Sus scrofa: one gene and its partner. The protein of the gene in region 1 purifies or fractionates together with the protein of each later gene. This does not show direct contact. Links are inferred from orthologs where the notes say so. Each region holds a gene or a part of one and is shown on either strand. Other genes may lie near its edges.

The links.
Region 2: the proteins of DUSP10 (region 1) and MAPK9 purify together in Homo sapiens (affinity purification with mass spectrometry; 3 studies listed by BioGRID and IntAct, with this or other methods). This does not show direct contact. The link is inferred for Sus scrofa from reciprocal best matches to the Homo sapiens genes DUSP10 and MAPK9.

What each region holds. Positions count from the first base shown.
Region 1 is NC_010452.4:10,867,668-10,871,486, forward strand, and holds part of DUSP10 (dual specificity protein phosphatase 10), read right to left. Parts: coding exon 3,508-3,819; intron 25-3,507; coding exon 1-24. UniProt on the Homo sapiens protein: Protein phosphatase involved in the inactivation of MAP kinases. Has a specificity for the MAPK11/MAPK12/MAPK13/MAPK14 subfamily. It preferably dephosphorylates p38.
Region 2 is NC_010444.4:78,379,738-78,383,556, reverse strand, and holds part of MAPK9 (mitogen-activated protein kinase 9), read right to left. Parts: intron 3,410-3,819; coding exon 3,244-3,409; intron 2,079-3,243; coding exon 2,007-2,078; intron 1,667-2,006; coding exon of another isoform or gene 1,595-1,666; intron 1-1,594. UniProt on the Homo sapiens protein: Serine/threonine-protein kinase involved in various processes such as cell proliferation, differentiation, migration, transformation and programmed cell death.

The DNA of each region.
Region 1 (3,819 bases):
CCTTCCCACACTGGTGAGCTTCCTCTGGAATGAAGGAGAGGAACAGGTGAAGGGGAGAAGAGAGATGGAGGGAGAGAGGTTAGCTTTTATCCAGACTGGACAATGCCACTTCTGCAGAGAGAACACGTTAAAATGGCTTTGGAAGGCAGAATAGGTCACTAGTTAACTGTGTGTGTTTATGTCACTACCTTCAGAACTGGCTGAAAGCAACAGTAGCATGAACAAGAAGCTACATTTCTGCGTCTAAAGAAAAAACTAGGTCAAGGAGTCATTTACAGTCGACTTCCTAGGTGATGGTGGCCAGCTGAGGACGGAGCCATGGCACAGTCAGCTTCAGGATGAAGCAAGCTCCTGCTTAGGAATCCCCTCTGATTAAGGATGTTGGTTCCCACAGCCATGCGGTGAGACTCATCAAAGCCAGTGTTATTAACAATGTCATTCCCACCCGTAAGAGAAAAAAGAAACATTTCTTTGTTTGTGCTATAGGATGGCTGATTATAGGAACTGAGATTAAATGGATGAGTTTGTCTGGTGAAACCCTAAAGGAGGTTAAAGGAACAAAACTCAACTGGAAAGTTACTATGTTCAGCTTCTCACCGGAAAGCCCTACTGTTGCAAAGTTAAAGGCGTATAGTCCTCAGGCATAAGGCGTCATCTCCATCTGAGCCATCCAACCCCCTCTGCATCCAGGCATGCTCTTCCAACACGGCAATGATGCAGAAGACGGAGGAGTTCCAATGATGGCTCAGAATCCAGAGCAATTGCATATGGCAACACTCTAAAGGTTTTCAGCTATTTTAAAATCCTAGGGGAACAGCTTGTGGGCACTGCCTGAATGGATTGTTGATGACATGTCTAAACTAGAAGGCAGCCTTGAAAAAAGTAGCCCTGAGATGAAGACTAGGGAAGCAGAAGGAATAGGAGAGCCAGGTTCTAACATAAACTCCTACTCCTGGCTACCCACCAGGAGACCAACGAAAGAGACATGGTGCAAATTTTCATCTTAAAAATCCAAAGATTTAGCTTCCTTCTAGATAACAGTATTTTAGGAAAGTATCTCTCGTTTTTGATTTCTTCTCTTCAGCACACAGTATTTAGCTGCCTTCATCCCAAGACTGGAAAGCCGGGTGGCAAAGAGCCCCCAAGTGCTGCCTTTGGCCGTGGTTCCACCTTGCGTAAGTCCTGTAACTGCTGAGAGCCTCAATCTTCCCTTCTGATTAATGGGACCAACACCAACTAAGCAGGCTCAGAACCAAAGAAATAGCACCACCCCATTCAAGGATAAAGAAACTGGCAGAGGTAAACCTTAAACCTAGACTCCGCTTAGTTTACAGTGGACTCTGTGAATATTATTGTGTTATAAAACAGGCTCTGTTTTCCTTCAAGCGAGTATAGTATTTCAGTTGATCTAATGATATAACAAAGAAAATAAAAACGGTGCCTATGCAGGGGGCGATGTTGAATTGCTTTTCAGGCTAAATGCTATTTATTTTCTGTTTTGTTTCTTTAAAGAAAAAAAAAAAAAAAAAAAAAAAAAAACAGGTGAGCCTGAATAATCTATAAGGAATGTGGGTGCTTTGACTGAAATCCTCTTAGAACAAGCATATCCTATGCTACTCACTACACGGAAAACCATTTCCTAACTTCCCCCAACTGGAATTAAGTCAGATAAAATTACAGGCACGACATCATATATCAACCAGGAAGTTCCTCTTCTGCTTGGTGACAAACTTTTCTTCCCCAAGGCTCAAGGTTTGATTCAGACACCAGCAGTAAAGAATTTCAAGCATCTTTGCAGCCACAAGCTCTGCCTGTTGGGAACTAATAAGAGCCTTATAAACACTGCCTCAATGCATTATAAAAAGGCTCCTGAGTTTGAAGTTGAGAGTGCCAGGCTCTGGTCCCTTCTGGGACACTAAGATTCCTACAACCTTGGAGAAGTCACCTTACTTTTCTGAGCTCAGTGACCACTCGGAAGTTCCTCCCAGGAGTTCCCACTGTGGCGCAATGGGATCAGCGGCACCTGGGGAACACTGGGTCTCAGGTTCGCTCCCTGGCCCGGCACAGTGGGTTGCCGCAACTGCGGCTCAGACCTGATCCCTGGCCCAGGAACTCCATATGCTGTGGGGTGCCACAGATGGAAAAAAAAAGAAAGAAAGAAAAGAAATTCCTCCCAGACTGACCATCCCACGGTCCTGTATTAAAGCCACAATTCACAGGGATACGCAGGCAAGGTGACCACAGCTGCCAAATCTCTGGCAAATCCAGCCTCCCTGCTGGCCGTTAAATCCAAGGTTTTTGTTGTTGTTTAGACAAAGAGACACCAAACACGCCTGCCTTCTTCCCGAGAGAGAGGCCAGTGACAACCTGCTGCAATATTTAGGAAAAGCACTGGGTCATCCCTTTGTGGGAAGAAAGGTTGGAGTTGCTTGAAAAAACAAACAATTGTTAACTACCCGCTGGGTGCCAGGTGCTCACCGAGTGATACTTTGAGCCTTGTGATAGTTTGCAGCTAGAGAAGCAGCAAACGTTAAAGTTTAAGGTTAGGGCCAGCCTGGCCATTCTTCCTTCTGGAGATTAAAGCCTGCTGATGCTAGAATTTTCTCTCCTTGGGAACTACACGATTTGGTCTTTCCCGCTTGGGCGAGTCTGGGGTAGACTACGGAAGTCTCATACCAGTTCATTAACAGGTGACCTCGTGCCCTTTTGCCACCCAACGATGATCTGAGACAAAGCAAACAGCAGGGAAAACCACCCCCAGCGGCCCTCCCCTCCTCTCTCTGCTCTGCCCTGAGGAGAGACAGGGTCCTGGTCACCACGGCCCAGGTGTCTGAAACAGGTCCTTCCTCAGAAACGCTGCCCGCGCCGCCACCTCCTGTAAAGAGGCGGTATCAGTGGCAAATGAGTTTACCTCACAGTAAGGGAGACGTGGGTGACTTTGGAAGGGGCATCGTACTCCAACAGCCCGCCCCGTATCCCCCCCCACCCCCCGCGATGAAATTTGCGGATGCTCGAGTCCCTCATGTGAACATGGCAAAGGACCCTCAGAACTCAGCATCGGCGAGTCGCACCTGCGATGGGCAGAAGCCGCGGATACCGAGGAGGGCCGACGCTTGTAGGGCCTGCACGGTGCCCGGAGTTCCCGTGCACCTGCCCTGACCGCCAGTTTCTTACTCTCTGCCAGTTCTTGGGCGCTGCGATTAAAGGACGGTCAGTGCTGTGACCCCTGCGGCTTTCTCACCGAGAGCCCCGGGAGGAGGAGGGTTTCTCGTTGAGCGGCCCTCCGCCCAGTGGGAACCGGTCTTTTTTGACCATCCCGTGGGCTCCAGGAGCCTCCAGGAGCTACGACTTAGGAGGCTACTTTGGCCGCACCAGGTGGCAGAGCCCCCAAACGCCTCGGGCAGCGTTGATGGCCACCCAGGCGTAAACCTCGGACCTGAGAGCAAAGCCAAGGCTGGAGGGAGAAAGGGAGGCGGAAGATGCGACCTCCCCGTGGGAGATAGTTACCAATGAACTCAAAGGCCTCTTCGAAGTACTGCCGCAGGTTCTGCTTGTTGCTGTCGGTGGCCGGCAGCCGCTTGTAGTTGAAGAGGCCTTTCTCGTAGTGGTAGAGGGGCAGGTGGGTGGTGACGTTGATGACGTAGCCGATGTTCAGCCGCTGCATCATGTCCAGGTCCTGAGCATCCTGCTCGTTGCCGAGGAACAGGAAGGGCAGGATGGGCGTCAGCTCGGCGTTCTCGATGTCGGGGGTGCTGGGCGCGGGCTGAGGTAGCGGGTTCGAGGCCGCGGACGCGCCGCCCCCCACCTCCCGGCACTCCT
Region 2 (3,819 bases), on another chromosome or scaffold:
CATCTTCATGGATGCCAGTTAGATTCATTTTGGCTTAGCTACAACGGGAACTCCCAGAATCTTTTTCTATGCTAGTAATTTTTAATCTAATGTTTGAAAAAGTTAGCAAAATTATCTTTGGAAATGATGTAATCTCCATATGTGTTTTGAGAATGACATTAGGTGACCTTATATATAAAATTATTAATTACTGACATTGCAATATATTAATATGTAAATTAAGAATTTAAAATTACTTAATAATGCACCAAAAAGTTCCCATACTTTTCATTTCTGTACCTCCTAAAGAAAACGTTTAATAAAAAAGGAAAGATGCAAAATGAATAAAAATTAAGACAAATGAATACTAAGTAGATACTTCTAAGTAGTATCTTTAGAATACATCAACTTTTCCCTTTTTAAGTGAATTTATTTGCAAATTAAAGATCCCCTTATTTGCAGTTTGAAGTAGCTGAATCTAAGGTCAGAGTATGGAAAATTGCTAGAAAATTTATTGGAACAAAATAAATGCTATATTTACCTTCACATAAAATCTGTGATGTGAAAAATGTCAAGGAAGGTAAATAAAACGATAGGAAAAAAATCTTTTCATTCCAAGTTGGTGTTCGAAGAATTTACATTACAAGAAAACCACCCTCATAAAATTATAAAAAACTAAAATTACTTTAATAAAATACATTAAAAACATCGACTACACAACTTGATTTCTTTTAAAGATAACCATCAATCTGCCAGCAGACAGAGACCACTTTAGGCTTTCATAACAAAAAACAAAATCAAAAGACTAATGAAAATTTTAAGTGGTTAGAACACAAATGGAAAAGGGTATATGTGAAGTACCATGTTAGAGTAAAAAATATTGAAGATGGAAGAATATGAGGAATATGAGAAAAGAAAGCTATTGTAACTATCATATATCTATTCTCCTTTATGCTATACATCGTTGATATGATTTGTTGACCACAATATAAGTTAATCTTATATTTATTTAGACTTCCCCAATGTGTCACAAAATAACCTTCTAAGTGGATCTTCTAAAATTTTCTACAGAATGTCAGAAGGGTAACAAATAAAAAAATTGAGTACATATTGTTCCTCACAAACTTTTCACTTTAATCTTTTCATGTAGGTCTTATGCAGTGTGCTTTATCTGGTTCTTAGTTTGGGGAGAAATATTTGAATGCATCCTGGTAACTAACGAAATAGTTTATTAAACAAATAACATTAAGAATACTGGCCTATGAAATTTAGACAACTTCGTAGTTAAACTAATAGGATGAACTAAATAAATATTATTTTCATTTAAATAGCAAAATACATTTGTCAAAGAGTAAGTTTCTTACAAGTTATTTGTAATAAAACTAAGAACTAATATAAATTGGTTTAACTTAATTCTATGCCTCAATAAAACCATTACAGGTAGTCAAGTAAAAAAGAAAACAGAAAATGGAACCATTTGGTTTGTGACACTAATTTAACAAACACAATCAAGACCTCCTTAGAACACAGTCTAGAATTAACATTTTCCTTCTGAGCTCCTGCTGCCTTTGGTGTTTATGGAAAGCATGGCCGGGAAGGTCCCCGGGAAGGATACGATCAGTGCCTTGGAATATCACACAACCTTTCACCAGCTCTCCCATGATGCAACCCACTGACCAGATATCAACTGAAAATAAAATGAAATGACAAAATTATGAAGTGCCATGAACAAAACAAAGGTGAGGAAAAGGAATTCTAACAGTATACTAAACACACAAATATGGAAAATAAATTGCTCATTAAGGGTGAACTTTTTACACAGTATGAAAGATTGCTGATCTCTATTTTGGCCTTCAGTTTGCAGCAATCTGGGCTTTTAGTGCCAAAGAGCCCAATACTTTACAGTTTCAAAAACAAAGCCCCAGAAATAAGAAGTGCTTATCCCCACGAAGATGTTTCTAGGCAAAGGCCCACCCCCACCCCCCAGCCCTTGTGGCCAGTGCCAGGTCTCTCCCTGTGAAGGATACAGTCTCTTCCTGGGAACAGGACTTTATGGAGGACCATTTCTGCCATGATGCACCCGACAGACCAGATGTCCACTACCAAACACCAGGTGATTAAAACCAGCCAGAGACCCCCACAAGCCTTTTCTCAAACCCTCCTCCCAAACAAAGACAAACCCAGCTTGTCAGCAAGACTTTTGTAAAATATGAATACTAAACCTCCAGAATGAACCTTTTCTAAACTGTCAAGTCAGCAGGGCCTCATGGGGACAGGCTTATCTGGGCTCCAGATGAGGCCAGGTCAGAGGTGACCTAACTTCTGGCCGTTCACCCTCTTTCGTGGGGTCCAGCTCAACCCCAGGCCTCAGATGCCAGGGCAGAGGGCTGTTTAGTGCCCCTGCTGGTGGGGGTCGGGTGGGAGAAGCTAACAGGGGATCTGATTTTCTCTCATGTCCACGGGGGAATGGAAGCCCACAGAGCTGTGTCTCTCAGAATGGGAACACAGGTTATAAAACATCTGAATAAACTTGAGGTGCAACTCATTTCATATGACTTGGGCAAGCTTTCAGACTCCTTTTTTCTTAACAAGGAAATGTGATTTAGTCAAAAGTCAAATTTAGACAAACTTGTCAAAAGCTAAGTTTCTAAGAGCTCTGATATTGTTAGAATAAGTTTTGTTGTTAAAAAAATACCAATTTTAGAAATATATTGGTACCATATATTTAGAAAATTTCATGGCATTACAGTAGTAAATCAACTAAAATATTAGTAGGATAATAACAACTACACCTCTCCTCAAAAAAAAAACTACCAATTCTATACATAAAAAGCACATTTTGTATTCTATTTATATCAAGTTTAAAAATAAGCAAAACCAATCTATGGTGCTGGAAATCAGGATAATGGCTTCCCTCAGGGGCTGAGACCCAAAGAGGGTCCGGAGAGTCTGGGGTGCCGCTGGTTATGTGGGTGTGCTCCGACCGAGCTGCCCACTAGGGATTTGCATACCTCCTTGTAAGTGTGTTATGCTTTGATAAATGTTCAAAAATATTAATCTCAAAAGTGAATTTTTAAAGTGAATAATTTTAACTGAAGGAAATATAAAATTAATTATTTCTCATCTGTGAACTACCATAAGCTATGTATAATACAGTCTCCATATTATATTCCATATAGTTCACAGGAAAGGGAAAAAAACTAGTGATGGCTAATAGCACTCTTTCTAAACATCTCAGCCTCTTTCAGTTCTGTCTGTACTCACCGTTCTCTTTATAGCCCATGCCCAGGATGACTTCTGGTGCCCGATAATACCGTGTCACCACATAGGGGGTCATCATAAAGTTGGTGCATGCTGTGCGGGCCAGGCCAAAGTCAAGAATCTTAAGGGTGCAATCTGATTTTACTACAATGTTGCTAGGTTTCAAATCCTAGGATAGAAATGGTTTAAATTAGAAAAATGAACCAAAGCATGCTAAGTAAACAATCTCACATTGGTAAGGATTTGTGAGGTCAGTGACTACTGAAGCATGTGAGAACGCCAGAAGGAGCAAAGTTAGAATCGAACCCTGGGATTTTTGGAACCATTTTGGAAAATTCTACCACACTGAATGTAAATGGATTAAGTGCTCCAACTAAAAGACACAGACTGGCTGAATGGATATAAAAATAAGACCCATATATATGCTGTTTACAAGGGACCCACTTCAAATCTTAGGACAATACAGACTTAAAACAAGGGGATGGAAGAAAATATTACTTGCAAATGAAAATTACAGAAAAGCAGGAGTAGCAATACTCACATCAGACAAAAGATATTTTAAAATAAAGAAAGGGAGTT